Linked DNA regions of Anolis sagrei. The protein of the gene in region 1 binds, or shares a complex with, the protein of each later gene. Links are inferred from orthologs where the notes say so. Each region holds a gene or a part of one and is shown on either strand. Other genes may lie near its edges.

Evidence for each region. The genes of interacting proteins can lie anywhere in the genome.
Region 2: the proteins of CRHR1 (region 1) and CRH are in contact, whole or in part, in a cryo-EM structure (PDB 6P9X), measured with the Homo sapiens proteins. The link is inferred for Anolis sagrei from reciprocal best matches to the Homo sapiens genes CRHR1 and CRH. Residues at the interface, in NP_004373.2 of Homo sapiens: Lys113, Tyr116, His117, Ala119, Val120, Asn123, Trp169, Val172, Gln173, Met176, Ser177, Pro178, His181, Thr192, Tyr195, Asn196, His199, Phe203, Phe260, Gly261, Lys262, Tyr267, Tyr272, Gln273, Met276, Ile277, Leu280, Tyr327, Phe330, Phe331; in NP_000747.1 of Homo sapiens: Glu156, Pro157, Pro158, Ile159, Ser160, Leu161, Asp162, Leu163, Thr164, Phe165, His166, Leu167, Leu168, Arg169, Glu170, Leu172, Met174, Arg176.

The regions. Positions count from the first base shown.
Region 1 is NC_090026.1:38,132,456-38,140,030, reverse strand, and holds the start of CRHR1 (corticotropin-releasing factor receptor 1), read left to right. Parts: upstream 1-4,560; 5' UTR 4,561-4,681; coding exon 4,682-4,717; intron 4,718-7,575.
Region 2 is NC_090024.1:45,606,872-45,614,276, forward strand, and holds the start of CRH (corticoliberin), read left to right. Parts: upstream 1-4,398; 5' UTR 4,399-4,733; intron 4,734-7,405. UniProt on the Homo sapiens protein: Hormone regulating the release of corticotropin from pituitary gland. Induces NLRP6 in intestinal epithelial cells, hence may influence gut microbiota profile.

The DNA.
Region 1 (7,575 bases):
CACCACAAGTCCACAATTCTGGTCATAAGCATTTCAATAAGGGACATTCAACCTGTAATAAGTGATAACCAACCCAAATAACCTGACTGATCTTGAAAGCTAAGGAGGGCCAGCCCTCATTACTATCTATATGGGAGACTGCCAAGGAATACCAGCACATACCAGAGGAAGGAACTAGCAAAACCATCTAAGAAAATCCATTGAAATTCATGAGGCCACCACAAGCCTCCACTTCTGGTCCTAAGCGTTTTGAATAAAGACACCCAACCTGTAATAAAGAATACCCAATCTGTCATAAGGGATAGTCAACCTAAATGCACCTACTTATGGGAGACTGTCAAGGAATACTCGTATCTTTCAAAGAAAGGAATTAGAAAAGCTGGTTCAGAAAACCCTTTGACATGCATGAGGTGGTAATATCTTTACACTTCTGGTCCTACCATTTCAAATAAGGGATGATACCTAACCTGTACTAAGGGATACTCATCCTAAACACTCTAATTCATTGATGGGCAAGGACCCTCCTGATGTTTTTGGGTTTCAATTCCCACAATTCCTAACAGCTGGTAAACTGGCTGAGATTTTTGGGAGTTGAAGTCCCAAAGTTTGCAGGCATGGGCCGAAGTTTGCCCATGCCTGCTAAATGCACCTAGTTAGCATCTGGATGGGAGACCTGACCCTGTCTGATCTTGCAAACTAAGGAGGGCCAGCCCTACTTAGTATCTGGGTGGAAGACTGTCAAGGTATAGGGTTACAGCCTGTACTGGATGGGGTTACACTCCCCCTGAAGTCGCAGGTTCGCAGCTTGGGAGTGATCCTGGACTCATCGCTGAGCCTGGAACCCCAGGTCTCAGCGGTGGCCGGGAGAGCTTTTGCGCAACTAAAACTTGTGCACCAGTTGCGCCCGTACCTCGGGAAGACTGATCTGGCCACAGTGGTCCACGCTCTTGTCACATCCCGTATAGACTACTGCAACGCACTCTACGTGGGGTTGCCCTTGAAGACTGTTCGGAAACTTCAACTGGTCCAACGAGCGGCAGCTAGACTGCTTACTGGAGCGACATAGAGGGAACACACCACCCCCCTGTTATGTCAGCTCCACTGGCTGCCGATTCAGTTCCGAGCACAATTCAAGATGCTGGTTTTGACCTACAAAACCCTTTACGGTTCCGGTCCAGCATATCTGTCCGAACGTATCTCCCTCTACATCCCATCTCGGAATCTGAGATCATCTGGGGAGGCCCTGCTCACGACCCCACCGCTATCACAAGTGAGGCTGGTGGGGACGAGGAGCAGGGCCTTCTCAGTGGTGGCCCCCCATCTGTGGAACTCACTCCCGGGGGAAATCAGGGCTTCAACTTCCCTCCTTGCCTTCAGGAGGAAGGTAAAGACCTGGCTCTGGGACCAGGCCTTTGGGCACCCTGACAATTAGACATGGAACCAGAATGATAGGACCAACAATGTGTGGAAAGTAGAACCTAACTATGAGTCGGTTAAACACTGACCAGCAATGAGGTTTGTATTGTTTTTATTGTTTTAATTGTTTTTACGGGTTTATGGCTATTACTGCCGATAATATTGATTGTTTACGTTAATTGTTATCAGTGTTATAATTACTGTTGTTACTGATGTTATGTTTTTGATATTATGTTTTTGTAATACAGGCATCGAATTGTGCCTTGTGTGTGTAAGCCGCCCTGAGTCCCCCCAGGTGAGAAGGGCGGGGTATAAGCAACTGCAATAAATAAATAAAGGTATGCTGGTAGCAAAACCAGTTCAGAAAGCCCTTTGAAATGGATGGCGTGGCCATCCATCCATAGTGGACTTGAAGGCACACAGAGAGCCACCTTAACCCAAGGCGAGCTGACCCTCCCAGCTCCTTTAGAACATCTAGCCCAAGTGAGCCTGGAAAAGGTTGTCTAGGTGCAGAATCCTGTGTGTGGACATCCATAGAGATACCAAGGTACTTGTTTATAAAGCTATTCTCCTCTCAACCCTGCTATATGCCTGCAAAACGTGGACTGTCTACAGATGTCACACTCAACTTCTGGAATTATTCCATCAGCGTTGCCTTTGAAAAATCCTGCAAATCTCTTGGGAAGAGAGTCGGACAAATGTCAGCATACTGGAAGAAGCAATGACCACCAGCACTGAAGCTATTCTCCTCCTCCATCAACTCCGCTGGACTGGCTACGTTATCCGAATGCCCAATCACCATTGTCCTTGAGTGTGGGCATTGTAGTTCACCTACATCCCAGAGAGCACTGTGGACTCAAACAAGGATAGAACTTTTTATTTATTTATTTATTTACATCACTTATATCCCGCCCATATCAGCCTGCAGGCGACTCAGGGCGGTCTACATATCGGCACAATTCGATGCCATCAATACAATACAAAAGCAAAAACTAGCAAAACCACCTAAGAAAACCCTTTGAAATTCTTGAGGACCACCACTTTTGGTCCTAAGCATTTTGAATAAGGACACCCAACCTGTAATAAAGAATACCCAATCTGTCACAAGGGATAGTCAACCTAAATGCACCTACTTATGGGAGACTGTCAAGGAATACTCGTATCTTTCAAAGAAAGGAATTAGAAAAGCTGGTTCAGAAAACCCTTTGACGTGCATGAGGTGGTCATATCTTTACACTTCTGGTCCTAACCATTTCAAATTAGGTGCATTTAGACAAAAAAGACAGTGCAATAACAATTTAAAAAGAGCTATTTCCTCTCATTCCAATCCTCATCCGTTTCGTCGTCTTGGCCGTTCCTGGGTCATTCTCCATCTCAAGCTTGACTATTCTGGGGTTCCGAATGCCTGCTCGAAGAGCCAGGTTTTCACTCTCTTACGAAAGGTCAGGAGGGAGGGGGCTGATCTAATATCCCTAGGCAGGGAGTTCCACAGCCAAGGGGCCACCACAGAGAAGGCCCTGTCTCTCGTCCCCACCAAGCGTGCTTGCAAAGTAGACGGGATCGAGAGCAGGGCCTCCTCAGATGACCTTAACTTCCTGGAGGGTTCGTAGGAAGAGATGCGTTCGGATAGGTAGGCTGGGCCAGAACTGTTTAGGACTTTATAGGCTAAAGCCAGCACTTTGAATTTGGCCCGGTAGCAAACTGGCAGCCAGGGGAGCTGATGCAGCAGAGGAGTTGTGTGCTCCCTGAGCGCCGCTCCTGTTAGCAACCTGGCTGCTGCACACTGGACCATTTGAAGCTTCCGGGCCGTCTTCAAAGGCAACCCCACGTAGAGCACGTTGCAGTAATCTATGCGGGATCTAGACCAAACTTGGCACGAATACTCAAGATGCCCAAATGTGAACACTGGTGAAGTTTGGGGAAAATAGACCTTGGCATTTCGGAGTTGAAGTTGCTGGGATTTATAGTTCATCAGAAGATGCTTACTTCTTGGGAGGAGAGCAATGTCCAGTCTCGATAAAATAGTAAAGAGTAGAGACATCAGACTGGCAACAAAGATCCGCCTCGTCAAAGCCATGGTATTCCCTGTAGTAACCTACAGATGTGAGAGCTGGACTATAGGGAAGGCTGAGCGAAGGAAAATCGATGCTTTTGAACTGTGGTGCTGGAGGAAAGTGCTGAGAGTGCCTTGGACTGCGAGAAGATCCAACCAGTCCATCCTCCAGGAAATAAAGCCCGGCTGCTCACTGGAGGGAAGGATACTAGAGACAAAGTTGAAGTACTTTGGCCACATCATGAGGAGACAGCAAAGCCTAGAGAAGACAATTATGCTGGGGAAAGTGGAAGGCAAAAGGAAGAGGGGCCGACCAAGGGCAAGATGGATGGATGGCATCCTTGAAGTGACTGGACTGACCTTGAAGGAGCTGGGGGTGGTGACGGCCGACAGGGAGCTCTGGTGTGGACTGGTCTATGAGGTCATGAAGAGTCGGAGACGACTGAACGAATGAACAACAACAACAACAATCAAAGACCATTATGAACCTCACCAACGAGTGCTATGGTATTGGAATGACTACCGGAATGGACTACGACTACGAGACGGATTATGACCCCAAAACAAGACGATGCGGATTTTTAGTTTAATTAGTTGTTTTGTATTAGTAAGATGTTATGTTGTGGTCTTGATTCATTGTAAATTGTTGTTTCTCTATGTTGTGTACACCGCCACGAGTCGCCCTAGGGCTGAGAGTGGCGGTTAACAAGTGCAAATAATAAATAAATAAATAAATAATAAACGATAGAATTGGACCAAACTTCTCACAGAGAACCCTCATGACCAACAAAAAATATTGTGTTTTCTGATTGTCTTTGGTGACCCCTCTGACACCCCCTTGCGACCCCCACAGGGGTCCTGATCCCCAGGTTGAGAAACACTGCTTTAGGGCAACATCTAGCCCAGGTGAGCCTGGAAAGGGTTGACTTAGGTGCACATTCCTGTGTGTGGACAAGATGCGCATTGTTCCAAAGCAAACGGGAAGGGTTTGGCTTGCACTGTGGGGGAAGTGAGTGGCCGTGTGTGGGGAGCTTGGGGTCTGTGGAAGACTCTCCCCACGGAATGGAGAGCATGTGAAGGCAGGTGGGGGCGGGCCGGGGGGAGGAGACTCTTCCGCCGCGGCTGGTGGCTGTGTAGTTGAGCCTGGATGCTGCAGAAGCTCCCAACGCCGCTTGGACAGAGAGAAAGAGGAGGAGGAGGTGCAGCCCAGGCATGGATGCATTGGATGCCCGGAAGGGCTTGCTGCAGGTAAGAGCCCGACCTGGCTTTTGGGATGCCAAGGCTGAGAAGGGGGTCGAGGGCGAGACCCATGCCGGATCTTTGCCCCCAACTTTCAAACCGGGGGTGGAATGAGTTGATAGTGTCCCGATCCATCCCAAACCCCCCTCTTTTCTTTGTGTCCTCTCGCCTCCAACCCTTCCATCCTTCTTATACTCCCTTGTTTCTATTTTGTCTCCTGCCATCTTCTATGCAAACTGAGATCTAGGCGACTTCCCAAGGAAACCGGGGGACACTCATTTTCTCAAAAATGTCACGAAACTGGGGCTCCTTTGCCAGCTTTCTGGTCAGTACTACAGCTCCCTTTGTAGGAGTGAGGAAGCAGAGGAGGGAGAAGTCCAGAGTTCACTGCAGAGGCAGCTAATCCGGATGAATTAACTAGCAGCAACTACTCTGGTCCTGTGCTTCATCAGAAACCAGCATTCCCATTTTTGTTGGTTTTCCCCTGACATTAAGTCCAGCTGTGTCCGACTCTGGGGTGTGGTGCTCATCTCCATTCCCAAGCCAAAGAGCCAGTGTTGTCCATAGACACCTCCAAGGTCATGCCTGCATGGCATGCCATTACCCTCCCGCTATTGATCTACTCACATTTGCATGTTTTCAAACTGCTAGGTTGGCAGAAGCTGGGGCTGACAGTGGAAGCTCACGCCGCTCCCTGGATTTGAACCTGCAACCTTTTGGTCAACAAGCTCAGCAGCTCAGCGGTTTAACACACTGCGCCACCGGGACCTTAACTCTGGTTGTGTGCTTCATCAGAAACCCAGATCAGCATCCCCATTAAGTGTGTATATATTGTGGGTGTGAAGGTGTAGTTTAGCTTCTGAGGCTGGAAATGATGTTATAGTAGAGCAAATGATGTTCTTGTGCGTTTTGTATATGTGTAAGGCCGGTGGCGCAGTGGGTTAAAGCGCTGGGCTGCTAAGCTTGTTGCCCAAAAGGTCACAGGTTTGAATCCGGGAAGCGGGGTGAGCTTCCACAGTCAGCCCCAGCTTCTGCCAACTTAGCAGTTTGGAAACATGTGAGTAGATCAGTAGATACCGCTCCGACAGAAAGGTAACGGCGCTCCATGAAGTAATGCTGGCCAAATGACCTTGGAGGTGTCTATGGACAACACCGGCTCTTCGGCTTAGGAATGGAGATGAGCACCACACCTCAGAGTCGGACATGACTGGACGTCATATCAGGGGAAAACCTTTACCTTTACTTTTACCTTTACCTTTACCTAAGGCTTGGTTCTGTCCAGACAAAGAGCTACAAATGGTCAAATGTATTTATGTTACTTAGCATTTCTTTCCAGAAGTCGAGACAGCAAGGATGACTATCCTTCCTCTCTATTTAATCGTTGCAACAACAATCCTGTGAGGCAGGTTAGGTCAAGGTCACCCATTCCATTCATTCTACTTCCATTCATGGCTCAATGGAAAGTAGAACCTGGAACTCCCAAGTGCCAATCCACCACATAAGCCACAACACCACCAGCTTTTGTTTGAATTTGGGGTTGTGGCCACGTTCTTTACAGCTCAAGTGCAGTCAATGTGTAAAATATGGTTTAAAGCAGGGTGTGGTCCTGGAGGATCAGAACCCCTAGTTTGTTTGTTTGTTTGTTTGTTTTATTTATATTCTGCCCTTCTCACCCCGAAGGGGACTCAGGACGGAGCACAGCATATATACGGCAAACATTCAATGCCGGGACAAGAATTCATATACGCATACATAAACATTAAAAACATTTATCTCAATATTAAAATACATCATTGAAAACCGTCCTGGTCATCAGCGTCAAATCTAATTGGCCTGGTAATCTTTCCTATTGCTGCTTTATTGCCGTGTCCTGAAAGCTTGGAAGAAGGTTGGCCTCCAGGAATAGAATCATAACAGTTGGAAGAGACCTTGTGGGCCATCCAGTCCAACCTCCTGACAAGAAGCAGGAAAATCACATTCAAAGCACCCCTGACAGGAATGCTTTCCTATGTAAGTGTATCTGCTAAGGCTGTGGTTCCCAACCTTCCTAATGCCACGACCCCTTAATACAGTTCCTCATGTTGTGGTGACCCCATACATAAACATTATTTTCATGACTACATCACAACTGTAATTTTGCTGCTGTTATGAAGCGTAATGTAAATATCTGATTTGTAGGATGTATTTTCATTCACTAGACCAAATTTGGCACAAATACCCGATACGCCCAATACTGGTGGGATTTTTTTTTTGGGGGGGGAGGGGTTATTTTGTCATTTGGGAGATTTAGTTGCTGGGATTTATAGTTCACCTACAATCAAAGAGCATTCTGAACTCCACCAATGATAGAATTGAGCCAAACTTGACACACAGAACTCCCACAACCAACAGAAAATACTGGAAGGGTTTGGTGGGCATTGATCTTGAGTTTTGGAGTTGTAGTTCACCTACATCCAGAGAGCACTGTGGACTCAAAACAATGATGGATCTGGACCAAATTTGTATCAAACTTGGCACAGATACTCAATATGCCCAAATGTGAATAGTGGTGGAATTTGGGGAAAATAGACCTTGACATTTGGGAGTCGTAGTTACTAGGATTTACTGTTCACCTACAATCAAAGGGCATTCTGAACCCCACAAGTGATAGAATTGGGCCGAACTTCCCACACAGAACCTGCATGACCAACAGAAAATACTGTTTTCTGGAGGTCTTTGGTGACCCCTCTGACACCCCCCCCCCCGGCGACCCCTCCAGGGGTCCTGACCCCTAGGTTGAGAAACGGTGTGCTAAGGCAAGATAAGCTCTGTATATCTTCAAGGCAAGACAAGCTCTGAGCAACATTCTACTTTGGTTAGATCACACT
Region 2 (7,405 bases), on another chromosome or scaffold:
TCTGGGTGTCCTACTGGACTCATCGTCGACATTTAAAGCTCCAGTGTCAGTGGTCGTCTGACTTGGCCACACCGGTCCATACGTTAGTTACATCTGAGAATTGACTACTGTAATGCACTTTACGCGGAGCTGCCTTTGAAGACAGTTCGGAAACTGCAGTTAGTACAAAGGTTGGCTGCCAAATTACTAACTGGAGCTAGCTATAGGGAGCATACTATGTCCCTACTCAAGCAGCTCCACTGGCTTCCAACAATTTTCTGGACTCAATTCGAAATGCAGATTATTACCTACAAAGCCCTATATGCTTTAGGCCTAATCTATCTTTGAGACTGCATCTCTTTCTATGAACTGGTGCAGGCTTTGAGATCAGGAGGAGAGGCCCTTCTCTTGGTTCCACCATCATCTCGAGTGCGATTGGCGAGGATGAAAGAGAGGGCCTTCTCTGTAGTGGCTACCTGGCTCTGGAATACCCTCTCAAAAGAGATTAGGTTAGTCCCCACCCATGACTCCTCCTGATCCAGCCTAAAAACATTGATTTTTAAGCAGGGTTTTGGCCTCGAATAGGCTGAAATGGGCCCATATGAGGTTGACACTTAGACACTTTAGTTGTGATTTGAGGGCAGCTAGTTTTAACTACATGTGGTTTACATTTTAAACTGTATTTTCATTTTATTTGCTGTGTTAATAGTGGCTGTCTTTATAACTTTTATTTGATATTGTTTTTATACTCATGTAGTGCCTTCTAAGCTTCCTTGATACCCTTTTGGAAGATGGTGGCAGGATATAAATAAAGTTTATTATTATATATTATCTACAGAGCAGTTTGACACCAATGTAATTGCCACGACTTCATGTTGTAGAATTCTGGGAGTTGTACTTTGGTGAGATACCAGCACTCTTTAATGGAGGAGGTTAAAAGAACTTATAAAACTACAGCTCCCAGGATTCCATAGCATTGAGCCATTTGATTTAAAGTGGTGTCAAGACTTTCTGTATATATTTCAGATTTCAATACTAGATGTACCCATAGTTTTTGTCTTTCCCTACTTTTTGAGGCCTACTACGTTGCCTATTATTACTCTTAACTAGAGTAAACCTATTCAGTTGTTAAATGGTGAATCAACCCATAGAGAAACCCCACTGAAAAAATAGATCTTCCTGCAATCGGTATTTAGGGTTCAGGCCATAGTTTCACTTCTGTCAGTCAAAGGATGTGTCCGCACTACACAGCTGCAGTGCTTTAATATAATCTTAACTGTCACGGCTATCCATGGGTTTGCAATTAGGTACATAGAGCTCCAAATTCTCTGTCCAGGTGCTGAAGAGCTTCATCAAATCATAGAATAATAGAGTTGGAAGAGACCATGTGGGCCATCTAGTCTAACCCCCTGCCATGGAGGAAACCAAATTCCAAATCCTAGGATTTCCCAGGAAGGCACCATGTCAATTAAAAAGGATGCAACAGCTATAACACGTGTCAAACTCAAGGCCCGTGGGCCCAATCCAGCCCACCATGTAATTTTATGTTGCCCTTCAGATGCTGGACTGATGTGTATTGATCAAGAATTCCTGTATTCTTGTTCAATAGACATCATACCTAGAGCTGATGGGAGTTGCCATACAGGAACATCTGGAAGGCTGCAGTTTTGAGTAAGAACAGTGGAGTTCAAATTTAGATAGAAGGCCTGTGGACAGAGGCGGCCCTAGGTAATTTTCAATAGTAAGCAAACAGTATCCCCCCCCCCCAACCAATCACTGATATATATTTTCTGTTTGTCATGGGAATTCTGTGTGCCATATTTGGTTCAATTCCATCATTGGTGGAGTTCAGAATGCTCTTTGATTGTAGGTGAACTATACATCCCAGTAACTACAACTCGCATATGTCAAGGTCTATTTTCCCCCAAGAGCACCTCAAGAGCACCCCTGGGCAAAATCAACTATACTGCAAATGCTTACTTTGCGTAATGGGTTGAGCCGCCCGTGCCTGTGGATAAAATGTCTGACGTTAAAATTTCCTTTAAACTTTCTCCAACCTCACAGCTGCAAATGGTGTTGAGCTGTAATTCCCATCATCCCCAGTACACATGGCAGATAATAAAAAGTGATGGGTGTTGTCATTCAGTGTGCGTGTCAGGGGCAACTTGAGAAACTGCAAGTCACTTCTGGTGTGAGAGAATTGGCCGTCTGCAAGGATGTTGCTCAGGGGACGCCCGGATGTTTTCATGTTTTATCATCCTTGTGGGAGGCTTCTCTTGTGTCCCCATGTGGGGGTGCTGGAGCTGACAGAGGGAGCTCATCCATGCTCCCTAGATTTGTATCTCCAACATGTTGGTCCTCAGTCCTGCTGGCATAAGGATTTAACCTACTGTGCCAGTGAGGGCTCAATAACATCTGGGGAACCAAACTGGGTTAAAAAATGACAGCAAAATGTAAAGATCTTGAAAAACAATAACTCCCATGATTCCATATCACTGAGCAATGGCAGTTCAAATGGTGCCTCAATTCTACAGTGTGGACTTACTCTTCAATGGCCTTATAGACCAAACTGGGACTGGGAATAAACAACACAACTGAGACCTAAGAATAAGGAACCAACTTCACAAATTGGATGGGTTGCTCCTACTAGGGATCCAAGTATGTCAACTCATTTTTTCAGTGCTTCAGAAAGTTACTCTTTGGATTACCAGAATCCACCAATCAGTCTGCCGCCAGTGGCCATGCACACTACAAGTGCACTTTTCCTCTTGTAGTTTGTTTTTAACAGTAACTTTCCAAATTCTGCTCTTTCCCCATTCTGGCATCCCACAGGAAATGCTGGGTGGGGTATTGGATGCTGAGGAAGCCATTCATCTGCATTAAGTAGTCTGGAGCCATAAAAAGAAAGGCCATCGATCAGTCTGCGCTGGTCGACTTTTCACCTGCCAGAGATATCGATGGTCCTGGGTTTCCATCCAGAGGCCCCTGAATGGAAAGAGTCGGGTGGCAAGGATGGCAGAGAGAGAAGAGGGAGGGGGGTTAGATTTTGGAAGGGACCCACAAACATGACCCATGAACTCCAATCCCTGAGATTGTTCACATGTTTAGGTCTCCCTATAGATTGAACCTACATAATTGAGAGCACAAGATACCTTGGGAAGGAAATAAAAAACCCAAACAATACAAGGCAAGGGTTGCTGTGAGTTTTCTGGGCTGTATGGCCATGTTCCAGAAGCCTTCTCTCCTGACGTTTCACCCACATCTGTGGCAGGCAACCTCAGAGATTGTGAGGTCTGTTGGAAACTAGGCAAGTGGGATTTATATATTTGTTGAATGTCCAGGATGGGAGAAAGAACTCTTGTCTGCTTGAGGCAGGTGTGAATGTTGCAATTGGCCACCTTGATTAGCATTGAATGACCTTGCAGCTTCAAAGCCTGGCTGGTTGCTGCCCGGAGGAATCCTCTGTTGGGAAGTTTATTTATCGTGTCAGGAGCGAACCAAAACAGTTGTATTGCATTAAAAACAAACAAACAAAACACAAAGTTTGCAGACTAGGTATTCTATTAAATGTCCTTTGACCAGTAGCTGCCCACTTGGAGTGCCTCTGATGTTGCTGCAAGAAGGTCCTCCATTGTGCACGTGGCAGGGCTCAGGTTGCATTGCAGTGTTGGGAAGTGTTACAAGGCAAATCAAACCCACAAGGGGGAAAGAGAAATTGGGAACCAGGGGGCCCTCCATATCCATGGATTCTGTACCCACGAATTCAACTATCCATAGCTTGGAATTCCCCCCCCCCCCCCAAATTCAGAGCTTGATTCTGCCATTTTTATATAAGGTGCACCATTTTACTCCCTCGTTATATATAATGGCACTGGAGCACCCATGGATTTTAGTTCCTGGAACCAAACCTCAGCACACCCAAGGAAAGGGCCTGAGGCTGTTAGGAATGGTGGGAGTTGAAGTCCAAAACACCTGGAGGACCCAAGTTTGAGTAGGCCTAGTGTAGACGCATCTGTTGCTTCTACTAGTCCTACTTTCTTTCTCAATGAGTCACAATGATCCTCGGTCCAGTTACCAGAATTCAGGAGGAAGTTTACTTCCTATGTAGGGACTTTGGAAAAGTTGGGGAAAGGTGTTTTTTCTCTCCTATGGAAAGACAGGACCTTCTCCTTGGAGGAAACTCTACTTTCCTCCCTATGGAAAGTTTTGGGTCGCCTTGACTTTGCCGAGCAAGAGGGGTCCCTTGAGGCCACCCGCGCGCCCCCTCTTCCCCGCTCTCCTTCATTCAAGGGTTTTTATCAATGGGAAGAAGAGTGTCCTGTCACTCTTCCCCGTCCGCCTCCCCCCTCCCCTCTTTCGGGGCTGGGCTGACGTCACCGACGAGGCGATAAATATCTGTTGATATAATTGGACGTGAGATTCCGGGGTTGCGATCGCAGGACGTTGCCCGCCGCCGCCGCCGCCTGCTCCGGAGCGGCCCCCATGATTTATTCAGCAAGCGAGCTGTCAAGCCAGCGTCAGCTTTTTAGGCGAAGGCTGCGTGATCCCCCGACGGGGTCCCACCTATAAAGACCCGGCAGACCCGGCTCCCGTTAGGAAGCCCTCGCTCGGGTCCCCGGGACGCCAGCAGAAGCGCTCCCAGACGGAGAAGGGGGCAAGCAGGCAGCCCGCCCCAAGGCAAGGCAAGGCAAGGCAGGGAGGGCAAGGCAGGCGGGTCCCCACCGCTGGCCGCTTCCAGTCTCCGAGTCTCGAAGGTAAGGAAGAAGGGGAGAGCGGGAGGGAGCCCGGGAAACCTGGCCAACTTTGCCCTGGAAGGAGAGAGGGGCGTGGGAATGGGATTCGGGAGAAGAGGAGGAAGGAGAGTTGGGAGAAGGGTGTGTGCGGATGGGGTTGGAGCCTGGTTGAGGTGTGAGGGAGCTCATAGGGATGCCTGTGTGGGGCAGAAGGAAAGGAAGTCCTCATGAAGGAAGGAGCTAAGGGAAGAGAGACCTTTCTCTATCCGGCAATAGAGACCATGGTAGCAAGAGAGACCATCACCTATAACAACAATGTAGACCATTAGAGCAACATAGGGCATTCGCTATAGCAATAAAACTATTATCTATAGCAATATTGATCAATATTGATCATTATAGCAATACCAACTATTAGCTATAGCAATATTGATCATTATAACAATACCATTATCTATAGCAACATTGATAATTAGAACATTACCAACTATTAGCTATGGCAATATCGATCATTATAACAATACCTACTATTAGCTATACCAGTACTGATCATTATATCAATACTAACTATTATCTATAGCAGTATTGATCATTATAGCAATATCAACTATTATCTATAGCAAAATTGATTATTATAGCAATACCAACTATTAGCTATGGCAATATTGGTTATTATAGCAATGTGTACTATTAGATATATTAATATAGACTATTTTAGCAATATAAAGCATTAGCTATAGCAATACACACCATTAGCCGTAACATTATGGCAATATGAATCATTTAGTTCTTGTGGGTTTTTTCGGGCTATATGGCCATGTTCTGATGATGCTTGCCATAGATGCAGGCGAAACGTCAGGAGAAATGCCTCTAGAACATGGCCATATAGCCCGAAAAAACCCACAAGAACTGAGTGATTCCGGCCATGAAAGCCTTCGACAATACATTGAACATCTCTACGGGGAGAAACTGTTCCAAGACACACGGAAATTGGAGAAACTAAGGACCAGGAAAGCACATCTACTGTGCTCCCTGACTTTCCTTCTACGCTGCAGAGACACAGATACCATCCCACAATTCCTCGCAGCCAAAAGGACTTTCAAAACACCACAGGCTCACCGGATCTATGACCGCCTGGAACGCAACCTCTTAAGAGAGAGAATCCACACCATCCGCAAAGAACTCGCAAACACAGACAAGGAACTGCTGCATCTCCATATCAATATCAGCCAGAAGATGAATTCCCAGGACTGGGACAAAATAGACAATCTCACTTACAGGAAAATGGAGAAGAACATGGTTGTCCACACCAACAGACAAAAACAAAAATTCCACAAACGACAAAAGCAACAACCGAAACCAGAACTGGATACATCACGGACCATCATCAACCTGACAGACAGACAACTCTCTGAAGACCAAGTATCCATACTAGCGAAAGGAGGAAACTTTGCTGTAACCGCGACCAGGATCCCAGTAGAAAACATCATTGCCAATGTCGAATCAGCAATTTACCGCCTACCAGAGGAGGAAGCAGAAGAAGTACGAGCGGAAGCAGCAAGGATCCTGAAAAAGGCAAAACTCCCCTCCAGTAACATTACTAGGAAGGAAAGAGAAGCCATTCGAGACCTAAATTCAGATCCTGATATCCTCATTCTGCCAGCAGACAAGGGGAATGCCACAGTCATCATGCATACGGAGCAATACAAGGAGAAGATCAGAAAACTCCTGGACCCTACTATATACAAAAAACTCAAGCAAGACCCAACTGCCAAAATAACCAGGAAAACCAACACCCTGATTAAGAACTCCTCAATAAACTTTGACATACGACAGCAGCTATGTAAATCGGAAGCCCATCCACCCAGGCTTTATGGACTCCCAAAAATCCATAAGGACTCCACCCCACTCAGACCCATCGTGAGTGCCATTGGATCCCCCACATACGACCTAGCAAAATTTCTTGCTGCACAGTTACAAAGCCATATTGGGCTCACTACACACTACATCAAGGACTCAGCCCACTTCATAGAAAAAATCAGCAATCTCAAGCTAAATACAAACGACAAACTGATCAGCTTCGATGTGGTATCTCTATTTACCATGGTCCCGGTAGCAGACACCATGGCACTCATCAACCAGAGGTTCCCAGAAGACATCACGGCTCTGTTTCACCATTGCCTCACCACCAGTTACTTTCAGTGGGACAATGAATTCTACGAACAGAAAGATGGAGTAGCTATGGGGAGCCCTCTCAGCCCAGTCATAGCTAACTTCTACATGGAACACTTTGAAGAACAAGCCCTGGAGACAGCAACCAAAAAGCCCACGATATGGTTCAGATATGTGGATGACACCTTCACCATTTGGAGCCATGGAGATGAAGAACTCAACAGGTTCCTGGACCATCTTAACAGCATCCACCCAAACATCCAGTTCACCATGGAAAAAGAAAATGAAGGAAGACTGCCTTTTCTAGATGTCCTAGTCATCCGCAAACCAGATCAACAATTGGGTCACACCGTCTACAGAAAACCCACACACACAGATAGATATCTACATAAAAACTCCAACCATCACCCAAGTCAAAAAAGAAGCACCATCAAAGCCTTGGCAGACCGTGCAAAAAGAATCTGCGAACCCCACCTCCTCCAAGATGAACTGAACCACCTCAACTGGGCTCTCCAGGCCAA